2 linked regions of the Yarrowia lipolytica genome follow. Each later gene encodes a partner of the first gene's protein in a complex. Links are inferred from orthologs where the notes say so. Each region holds a gene or a part of one and is shown on either strand. Other genes may lie near its edges. The genes, in order: YALI1_C29926g and YALI1_D06665g.

The links.
Region 2: the proteins of YALI1_C29926g (region 1) and YALI1_D06665g are in contact, whole or in part, in a cryo-EM structure (PDB 7LXD), measured with the Saccharomyces cerevisiae proteins. The link is inferred for Yarrowia lipolytica from reciprocal best matches to the Saccharomyces cerevisiae genes REV3 and POL31. Residues at the interface, in NP_015158.1 of Saccharomyces cerevisiae: Glu722, Asp723, Thr725, Thr728, Lys729, His732, Cys733, Phe846, His850, Lys851, Arg852, Lys868, Ser870, Thr871, Lys875, Thr1423, Thr1425, Leu1426, Ser1427, Leu1429, Ile1430, Leu1433, Lys1434, Gln1436, Lys1437, Tyr1439, Gln1440, Lys1443, Val1445, Arg1447; in NP_012539.1 of Saccharomyces cerevisiae: Ser51, Gln52, Tyr53, Tyr54, Tyr57, Gln58, Val93, Leu94, Gln97, Tyr109, Cys110, Glu111, Met112, Lys113, Tyr114, Thr126, Tyr127, Gly128, Ala129, Pro130, Leu132, Thr133, Lys134, Tyr136, Thr137, Glu140, Gly141, Glu149, Glu151, Ser152.

What each region holds. Positions count from the first base shown.
Region 1 is NC_090772.1:2,990,847-2,997,401, forward strand, and holds YALI1_C29926g (uncharacterized protein), read left to right. Parts: upstream 1-1,779; coding exon 1,780-5,796; downstream 5,797-6,555. Other genes in the region: YALI1_C29910g (uncharacterized protein), read right to left, coding at 1-189, 232-352; YALI1_C29920g (uncharacterized protein), read right to left, coding at 381-1,181; YALI1_C29968g (uncharacterized protein), read left to right, coding at 5,977-6,405; YALI1_C29983g (uncharacterized protein), read right to left, coding at 6,455-6,555. UniProt on the Saccharomyces cerevisiae protein: Nonessential DNA polymerase. Required for DNA damage induced mutagenesis. Involved in DNA repair, mitochondrial DNA repair and translesion synthesis.
Region 2 is NC_090773.1:664,633-668,577, reverse strand, and holds YALI1_D06665g (uncharacterized protein), read left to right. Parts: upstream 1-2,014; coding exon 2,015-3,424; downstream 3,425-3,945. Other genes in the region: YALI1_D06682g (uncharacterized protein), read right to left, coding at 1-277, 321-333; YALI1_D06638g (uncharacterized protein), read right to left, coding at 3,810-3,945. UniProt on the Saccharomyces cerevisiae protein: DNA polymerase delta (DNA polymerase III) participates in chromosomal DNA replication.

The sequences.
Region 1 (6,555 bases):
CTCCTCTAAAGTCACTTGTACAACACAGTACTGTAAGGCATCTCCACCATACCGGTTCAGATTCCTTACAATAATCGTACTTGTACTTGTACTTGTACTTGATAAGGCTATAAATTAGGGTCTTGGATGCACAATGGGAAACATACCAAGAATGATTGATTAGTTTGTGTGTGTGTGGGAAGCGGCCCTCTCTTCAGAATGAGGCAAGGACAGACTTCGGTGCTGTATAACGAAGTGCCCAGCTTCCAGAGAGGTGGTGCGAACGCAGCGGTTCTTCATGACAGATTGGCATGCGCATGACTTCAGGTGTTGTGTCACATTCAATGGCACGTTCCCAAGTCCCATCACACATGCTCTCGACCAAAATGGCTCCGTCACGCTCACCATTTAGGGAACAACCGAATGATAATCATACCTCCCGCCACAGCAACCACCATAAACACCACCGCCTTGATGTAGAAGAAGTAACCAATAGCTGCAGTCCGCTGGTACTCGTTCATCTTCTGTCCCACGGATCCCATCTTTGTAGACGACGATTCCAGAGCGGCCGCTGTATCCTTCACCATTGCGTCATCCTTGGCCAGCTTCTGGTTCATATCCACAGCATTCTGCTTCATTCTTCGCACCAATGAAAGCACGTCGTTAGCAATGTCATCCTGCTCGTTCTCGTCCACCCGCAGCTTAGTCTGCAGTGTGGCATCCTGGGAAATTTCATTGTCCATGCTACCGTGAGCACCACGTTTTCTCAAGCCATGTGACTGAGGGGTAAGGTCCTGGTCTCCCTCCAGAAGCGCTTCACGCTCCTGCCGTTCCCGCTCCAGCTCAATCTCCTCCGTTTCTCGCCGCTTGATGAGACTGGTCAGTTGCTGCTCTCGTCCGTCCACCTCGAGCTCGTATTGTCGGACAAACAGCAGATCGGTGCCAATTTTCCGCAGGTCCTGCTTCTCCACCGGTGTTGCCGAGCTATGGCTGAGCACTCGCGCTCGCTCGAGGTTCTTGTCGGCCTTTAACCGCTGCAGACCGAGCACAAACGCATCTCCATCGTCGTATAGTGTCGACAGCTCGTTGATCTGGTATCCGGAGTCGTCGTCCAGGGCTGTGTAAATCTCTTCCGTGTCAACAGCGGCCTTTCGGGCCAGTTCTGAGGCTGTTTGGCCGAGATTTGACAAGATGGTGTTCATATTGGGGTGCTGGGCAGGTGTAGAGAGATAGTCTGCTTACGTGGTGATCTAGAGTTGGGGTTTTAGGTGGTGGAGTTTATTTTATTTGATGAGAGTGAAATTGTGAAGCGATAGAAGACGACTTTGTACTAGGATATGTGGGCGTTTTATATGGATAATATTGAAGATGGTTTAGTAATCATAGTCATATTAATTGCTAGTGGAATTTTTCCATTCAAAACGCCCCGAAACAGAGTGTCAAAAGCGAAATCACTTCTTTAAGTAATTTGAACAGAAGTAATCAACCCCCGGCTTTCTTTTACTTGGAATTGTTCTCATTTACCATTGCGACCAGAAATAGCCCCAAAAACGAACGGGAGACTTGCAATCACTTTTATGTTCCAAGTTTAACATTACTGAGCTCGTAAATGCTCCCTGAAACTTCCCCCGCCCCCATTTTAACGCCTCCGCCCTTCACTCGATCACGTCCGTCGCGTCAAACAAAGTTCATGCAGGTAGATGCGAAATAATGAACAACATAAACAAGTGAAAAAACGTCCGATAGCAACATCTTGGAAAACGGCACAAAACAACTGGTTTTTCTCACACGAGCGCCACCATGTCGGGACTGCGCATCCAGATAAATTACATCGACTATGTAATGGCTCCTCCGGGGCCGCTGGACTGGTCCAAGGTGCCTGAAACGGTATCTTGCGAATGCGACTACAAAGATCTACACCGGGTTCCAGTGCTGCGGATATTTGGAGGCACCTCGGACGGTCTTTCGTCTTGCGCACATGTGCACAACGTCTTCCAATACTTTTACATACCCTACACCGGTCCTTCCTTAAGTCCGGCGGATTCGGAGCCGTTCATAGCAGACATGTATCGCCGAATCAACCTGCAACTCCGTTCCAAGAGGACACGTGGCGAGAAGTTACCCGAGGAGTGTAGTTTTCTGGCCAACATTGTGCTATGCAAAGCTACACCATTCTACGGATACCATGAGGGATGGAGATACTACCTGAAGATCGTGGTGGTGGACCCTAGTCATGTTGGAATGCTGGTGGACATGTTCAGGAACGGTGTGTTTGGATGGGACCACTCGCGTGTGTTTGAGAGCCACTTGTCTTACATTTTGCAATTCTTTTGCGACTACAATTTGCATGGTTGTGGATGGATGGAGGCGTCCAGGTACATGATGAGAAGGGAAGGTATGATCTCCAAGTCGGAGTTTGAGGTTGACTTGCAGGCCGAATACATCTTAAACCGACTGGTGATTTCGACCAACAAGAAGCCAGGGGACAAGGCGTTCCATTCACTGAAAGAGCTGTGGACGAGCTTACAGAGCATTAGAGACAAGTTCAGCAAAGGCGAGTACAAGAGTGACTATGGAGAAAGGACTGTAAATGACCCGCGGGAGCAGTGGTTTTCAGCCCAGTCCATGTTCTCGGAGTTGGAGGAGAAGGTGAGCAAGGCAGACTCGGCCCATTCATACGTGCAGTTCTGGCCCAAAAGGCCATACGACAATCTCGTTCCCACAGCGTTTGAAACGACAAAATGCATGTTCAAGGGAGAGGGTGCCTCAGAAGTGGACAGTTTTGTGTTTGATGTGTCCTTTGACGATCTTCCTTCCATGTCCCAGGAAAAGAGAAGCAGTGCAACAAGAAAACACAGTTCCACTCCTCCCCCATCAACCAGGAAACAAAAGGGACTCAACTTCAAGGTGACCAAACCCAAGTTTGATGTTCCAAATACTGCAAAGACGAGTACTGCTGTTGCTACTGCTACTTTAACTACAACAGTCTACACTTTCAAGCCACCTCCATCGCGTGGACTGTGTATTACCGATTTAGACGACAACAACATGGCACAGAAAGTCTACCCAAAGCCGCACTACTCACGTGATTCAGACGTCCCCACAAAAACAATGACACACGGAGGCGTCACTTTTCGAATTCTGGGGTCTTCCGTAAAGTATCTACCAACGGGATTCCCCGAAAAGCCCTCAAACTATGCTCTTAAGGGCGTTGTTGAGCTGGCAAAGTCTCCTCCATCGCGTGATGACGTACTCAAGTGGATAGGAAAGACTACCAACAATGCTGATCTGTTTCTGTCCCAGATAGCGCCTCCTACCCAGAAGCCCAAGTACTCTTTCCCCAGTCAAAACACACTCTCCCAGCGACACGAGTCGGCTGCTTTAACGGTCATGAGCATGGAGGTTCATGTGAACACTCGAAAAGGTCTCAATCCAGACCCAGATCTTGACCCAATCCTGTTCGTTGTCTGGCACATGTTGGGTGGTCCCAGTGGAGTGATTATCAACGCCGAGGATTGCCCAGACTTCACAAACATCATCGAAGCACCTTCCACTGTCGTCAAAACAGAGTGTGAAATGATCACTCATCTTCAGAAAATGGTGGAGAACTTTGATCCTGACATTCTGACTGGCTTTGAAGTCCAAGCTTCTTCCTGGGGCTATGTTCAAGACCGTTGCAAGACCATGTTGTACCCATGTGAATTTGGAAGGGTTCAGCATCATAAGATGAGCTCGAAAATTGACACTTGGGGCGCACGAAAGGCTTCTGGAGTCAAAGTAGTTGGCCGTCATGTGCTCAACTTGTGGCGTATGATTCGTGGGGAGGTTTCTTTGTTGAAATACACGCTTGAGAATGTCGTCTTCCACGTTCTACACGAACGCATTCCCTTCTACACACACGATACGCTCACAGAAATGTGTGTGGGCAGTCTGTCTGACCGGAAATTACTTGTGGAGTACAAATGCACGCGGTCCAATTACAATCTGCAGCTCTTGAGCACTCTGGAGATTGTTTCACGAACAGCTGAGCAGGCTCGAGTGGTGGGAATCGACTTTTCGTCCGTCTACACCCGCGGCAGTCAGTACAAAGTCGAGTCGTTTCTTGCTCGCCTGACAAAAAGTGAGAACTTCATGCTGGCAAGCCCCAGTAGAGAACAGGTTGGTCAGCAGAATGCCCTGGAGTGCATTGCTTTGGTAATGGAGCCCGAATCTCGACTTTATACGAGCCCCGTTCTTGTTCTGGACTTTCAGTCTCTTTATCCTTCCGTCATCTTAGCCCACAATTACTGCTACTCCACCTGTTTGGGCAAATGGACTGATTTTGAAAAGGACGGAAACACTTTGGGAACGGAGAAACTGTTCTACAAGCCGTCTTTGGTAAAACGGTTGCTGACTAAAGACGATGTGACCATCTCTCCAAATGGCCTGGTGTTTGTGAAACCCCATATTCGAGTTTCTCTGTTAGCTCGAATGCTGGGTGAGATTCTGGAGACCAGATTCATGGTCAAGGATACTGCCAAGCTCGATAGAGACAATGTGTCGTTCCAGAGACTCAACCATAACCGACAGCTTGCTCTGAAGCTCGTGGCCAACGTCACATATGGATACACTTCTGCCTCCTTCTCTGGACGTATGCCCTGTGCCGAAATCGCTGACGCAATAGTTCAAAGTGGACGTGAGACGCTCGAAAAGTGCATTGACGTGATCCATGGATCGGACAAATGGGCAGCCAAGGTCGTCTACGGCGATACAGACTCGTTGTTTGTATGTCTACCTGGTCGTACCAAGGATGAAGCATTCAAGATTGGTACTGAGATCGCTGATACCATAACATCTGCCAATCCAGCACCCATGAAATTGCAGTTTGAAAAGGTCTATCTTCCTTGCATGCTCATATCCAAGAAGCGATACGTGGGCTACAAGTGGGAGTACTCGAAGCAGATGTATCCCATTTTCGACGCCAAGGGAATCGAAACTGTGCGACGAGACGGCACCCCTGCTGCCCAGAAGATTGAGGAGAAGGCTCTTCGTATCTTGTTTGACACTGCTGATTTATCTCTGGTCAAATCGTACCTCTACGAGCAGTGGACGAAGATTCTAACTGGTAAGGTCTCGATTCAGGACTTTTGTTTTGCCAAGGAAGTCAAGTTAGGCCAGTACAAGGAAGGGGGAGTGTTGCCCGCGGGTGCGAAGATCTCGGCTGAGAAAATGGCAGTCGACATGCGCTTTGAACCCCAGTACAAGGAACGTATCCCATATGTGGTTGTTGCTGGTCCTCCCAAAAGTCGGCTGATTGACCGATGTGTTTCTCCTGAAGAACTAGTCAGGAACGCCAACTCTCTCATTCTCGACGCCGACTACTACATTCACAAGACTCTGATTCCCCCTCTGGATCGGTTCTTTAACTGTGTGGGTGCTTCTGTTCTCAAGTGGTACGAGGAGATGCCCAAGAAGCGGCGGTACGAGTTTTACCAGACTGTTTCTCGAGCAAAGACCAACCAAACCACGCTCAAGTCGTACGCTGTGTCCAACTCGTGCATCGTCTGCAAGACTGCCCAGACGTCTGGCTTGTCTAAACTTTGCGCCACGTGCGAGAGTGATCCTGGTCATGCAACATTCGTGCTTAACTCCGATCTGAGGTACAGGGAGAAGCGGCTGGATGAGCTCAACACAATCTGCGCGCAGTGCTCAGGCGACTTTGAGACTAGGTGCGAGTCTCAGGACTGTCCTATTTACTACTCACGGGTCAAGGCAGTGAGTAAGGCGGAAGATGCAAGTGAGAGGCTAGTGGAGTGGACTGAGGGGCTGGAGTGGTGATGCAACGATGGAGAACTTATTTATTTGTATTGTAATATATTTATTTATAACTGCGCTGGTTGCCGTGTGTGCCTTCTGTACCACAGTCGAACCCTGGGTGAAGCGCCAAAGTGTTTCTGTAGTTGTGCCAGTATCAGCGTCTGTCCTACCAGTAGCTCGCGTCTTGACTCTAGTCCGTGGATGTCACCAAGTACAAAGAATCTAGAAGCACGGCGCCAACCCTCATTGGTGACACGAGGGGCTTCTTCTGCGATAATGGCCCTTCCTCACGAGCTCGCTATTCATAATTGCTTAGCAATATCCTGGGCGAGGAAACAGACACCTTCTGTTTCTCCCATTCCGAGTGGTAGGGTCTGCGAGGATATCCCTTTTCTCAGCTTCCCTTTTCTCAGCTTCCGAACACTTTCTGAACCAGTTCTGGGACGAAACTGCGATGTTGAACGCGTCATTGGCGCCACAGGCGATGATGGACCCGTTGAATGGACTACTGTACTTGAAGTAGCAGGGCAAAGGATATCTGCATGCTGTTCACTGCATCAGACCAACGCCTACTTTCAATCAATGCTTCATTATCTATATATATCCTTAGTCCTTCCTTCACTGCAATAGCACTGGCCAGTGTCTTTTGTTTTGCATGTACTTGCACTCACTTCACTGGTTACTCCTCCAACAAGACCATCACCTTTGCGCAAAACGCCTCCAGATGAAAGATATACTTCGCACCCAGCTTCAACCGATGCTCGTAGGTGGCTGCGGCAG
Region 2 (3,945 bases), on another chromosome or scaffold:
TTTTGCAGCTCTCTTGTGTCATCACAGGCGGAGTGTACGCTGCCGACAAACGTCTCATTCGGTACGAACACAAGTTGCGAATAGACCAGCGGAATCTCATTGCCGAGCGGGCCGCTGCTGCCGAGGCTCGAGGCGAGTACATTGACCACGATGGCCACGTCAGAGACTCTTCCGGAAAGGTGATTCGAAAGTGATCCCACTGCCCCGAGAAAAAAGTGTTGCAACACTAACACACTACAAGGTACGAGGGTACTACTGGACACCCCACCAGAAGTTGCTCTCAACCGGGGAATTGCTCTCAAATAAAAGACGAGTGCCACGTGTGCCCATCATTCGTCGAGACTGCCCTCATCCCAACCTGTACATATTACATACTTCTTTTTTTTGACATGGTATCGTATTCCCCAAACGTGGCTTGTATCTCGTAGATTGTCTTATCTGGACTTGGTGCCTGCACAGAGGTGGCTGAAAATTTGTGGCGGTGCATTTCTAGGTTCAAAGCAAAGCCGCGAGCTTATTATGGCGGAGGTTAGGTACAGTAAAAAGAAAATGGCAGTGCGTTAGAATTGACAAGGACGCGTGTTTTCCGACTAAATTCCTTTTTCATTGGAATCTCTGGTCTAAGACGGCTATTTTGATGTAGTTTGAATCGTCTTAGGAGATCTATTGCATCTTTAAGGAGCTACTGGAAGGCTTGAACTTTCGGCAACAAGTCTGGAAGAAGGAATATCCAGCTAGGAGAGTTGGCATTAGTAGATACAGGTAGTTCATTGGAGAGCTATATAGTACTTCTCCTTGTGCTTGTACAGGTATGATATTCTATATATACATCCGTTTATTCTTTAGGGGTCACGTAGAATGCCATGTGTTCCCTCCTCCTGAGTCTTACCGAATCTGGCATTTCACGAAATCAACAACAAGTATTTTGATAAGCTGTTTTTGCGACTCTCTGATCATCTCCAATAGTTCTGATCTTCAGCTACTGGCGGGCTTACTAATCACGTCTCTCGAGCTAGCTCACCAACCCAACCCCGTCCACACATGGCATCCTGGCCGAGCGGTTAAGGCGAGAGATTAGAAATCTCTTGGGGTTTCCCCGCGTAGGTTCGAATCCTGCGGATGTCGCCATCTTTTTGGTCCTCTTTTGTATGTATATTTCTCGTTTCACGTGATGTGGTTGATTACTGTGCGAACTGTTGGATGTATGATGAAGTGTTTTTTAGGGGTTACCGAGACTATTAGTCTCGTTTGTTTGTACTTCATCAATAATAATGGCGTCAAAGAAGTACCTATTTGAAGTGTTTGTACTTCCTTGTCTCCTTTTGCCCGTCCAGTGTGACTCCTATAACACAAGAACCTGCCGACTTCCTCTATGTTGATTCATGGCGCGTCCCATGGGGAAGAGAGGGGCCCAGATTCCCAACAATTGACAGCTTCTGATACTTTTTGACAGCATTACAGCTCATGGTTCCTCTTTCTTCTCATAAATATACCAACGTTCAACTTTGCCTGTGTTCGTGAGGTCTTCCTCAGCACTGCGAGACCGCTAGACCGTATCAGCGCAAGAGAATGTTGAAATAGCAGGCTACAGTAATGGTTCAGTTATATCCTATTCTTCTACATCTTTTGGGGCCGCTCCCCGAGAGTTCCTACGAGTTGGAGTATCGCCGGAAAGCTCTACTCTGAAAATAATTGCTTTAACAAAGATATCAACTAAACGCGTCTTTCATAGTTGATAGGAGTTCCCTCAACATCCCAGCCATAACGTGGTATCCAGTACTTCAATCGCTCTGAAACTATATCTACATACAAAGTACAACTCAAGAACTGCGTATAGACGTTCATCGTCCTCTAGCTATCGTCCTCTACCATGCTCCAGCATCTCCTTCTACTTACCCTCTTTTCGCGTACACGGGTTTTGGGTTCTTTTTAAAGTTCAATTTACACGCTTTTGATTTTGATCCATCGAGAAATACTGCTCCAGCTTTCTATACCAGAACTCGACACTTTCAGCATGCCGGAGATACGTTCAAATCTGCCCACTACTGCCACCTCGCTCAATGATGGCTTCACGTTGCCCATCACAAAACGCAACTACAACCGTCAGTATGCGCCAATCTACTACATGCGATTGCACCAGCTCATGAGCCAGGTGCTGGATGCTGCTACTTCCAAATGGGCTGATAAGAACGTCAAGTACCTCAACAAGTGTTTGGACGTTCTTGTTGGGGATACGGTGTTTGTGGTCGGCACACTGTTCAAGGACATGAAATACAAACCCAGCATGTTGGAGGAGGTGACCCGCAGCCATTGGGGAGCTCCTCCGGGCAAGAAGCCCAAGTACGTGGACCCTCAGGGCGATTGTGAGGACGGTGGACACAAGGACGATTCGTCGATTCAGCTGGAGGACAGCTCCGGTCGAATCACGCTCGTGGGACCAAAGGTGCAGGAGTTCATGCTCATCACAGGCGTTGTTTGTGGAGTACTAGGCACGGCAGGCGAAAACGGACGCTTCACGGTCGTGGATGTGGTCTGGGGCGGCTTTCCCGAACAGATTTATCGACCTCTGAGTGGAGTCAATGACGGAGAAGACGTTGAGATGGCTGACAATGATACTCCTGAAGACACATACATTTGTCTTGCTTCTGGTCTGTACATTGGCCAGAAGAAGACGGATTACAAACACGTGCTTCTGGCAGAATATCTCCAGGGGCTGCTTGAGGAAGATGGTGCAAAAGATGGACTGGTAAAGCCCAAAAACATTTCGCGGTTCATTATGGCCGGAAACAACTGCTCGTTGGAGTCAGAAAGACCCGTTATCGACACACTATCTCGAACCGTGGACCTCGACGCCTTCAAGCCCATGGCTCGCGTTGACGAGTACATTGCACAATTGCTGCCATCCATCTCTGTTGATATCATGGCAGGAAACGACGATCCCGGCAACATGTCGCTTCCTCAGCAGCCGCTGCATCTGTCCATGTTCCCTCAGAGCCGCAAGTTCAAAAAGGCCACCTTTGGGTCTGTTTCCAACCCCTACTGGTGGGACTTTTCAACCGACGAGGCGCCTCTCAAGGTGCTGGGAACCTCGGGACAAAACGTGTCGGACATCTACAAATATCTGATCGAAGGACGAGACGATATTCTGGATATCATGGAGCATACGCTTGCCTGGCGGCACTTGTGTCCCACTGCCCCAGATACCCTGACTTGCTATCCTTATGGAGATGACGATCCCTTCATCATCAAGGAAACTCCCCACCTGTACTTCTGCGGCAACCAGGACGAGTTCCAGACCAGTGTTGTCAAGCATGACGGAGTGTCAGTGCGTCTGGTGGCAGTTCCGCGGTTTGATGAGACGGGAGAGGTGGTACTGGTGAACATGCGAACATTGAAGGCAGAGGTGCTGAGGATTGTCGCCTAGCTGGAGAGCGGAGCTCAACGTAGCGAGGGTAGGCAGCAGCACTACGAAGTAGGGGGTTTCGATGAGCGCTTCTAACTCTCGCTCTCAACAGATACATGCCATGTTCTCAGCAATTGTCGCTGGGACTCTTGACAAACTACCTCTTGTAGTGGGGACTACAAGTAGTTAGGAACTAATATATTGCACTTGCATGGCTTTATGATCGTAGCACAAGTGAGAGGTGGTTGGACAGTGTAGCGTATGAAGCCATCTTCTACGAGCTCTAGGGCACATTTCCCCCGTTATCACACAAGTAATAGTTCCAGTTCTTCCGAAACATCGAGTATGACTCAACACAGCGACCATGATGATATATGTTCTACACTCTTTGACTATATACAGTAGGCTACTTTTCAGGGGCGGGAAGAGCCAGCAACCCGTTAGGGGCAGGGAGGGCCTTGGTAAAGTCTCGTACGACAATGGAGCAGTCGACTTCTCGACACAGGTCCTTCTGCTTGACGGTGATCTTGTTGAGGAACTCG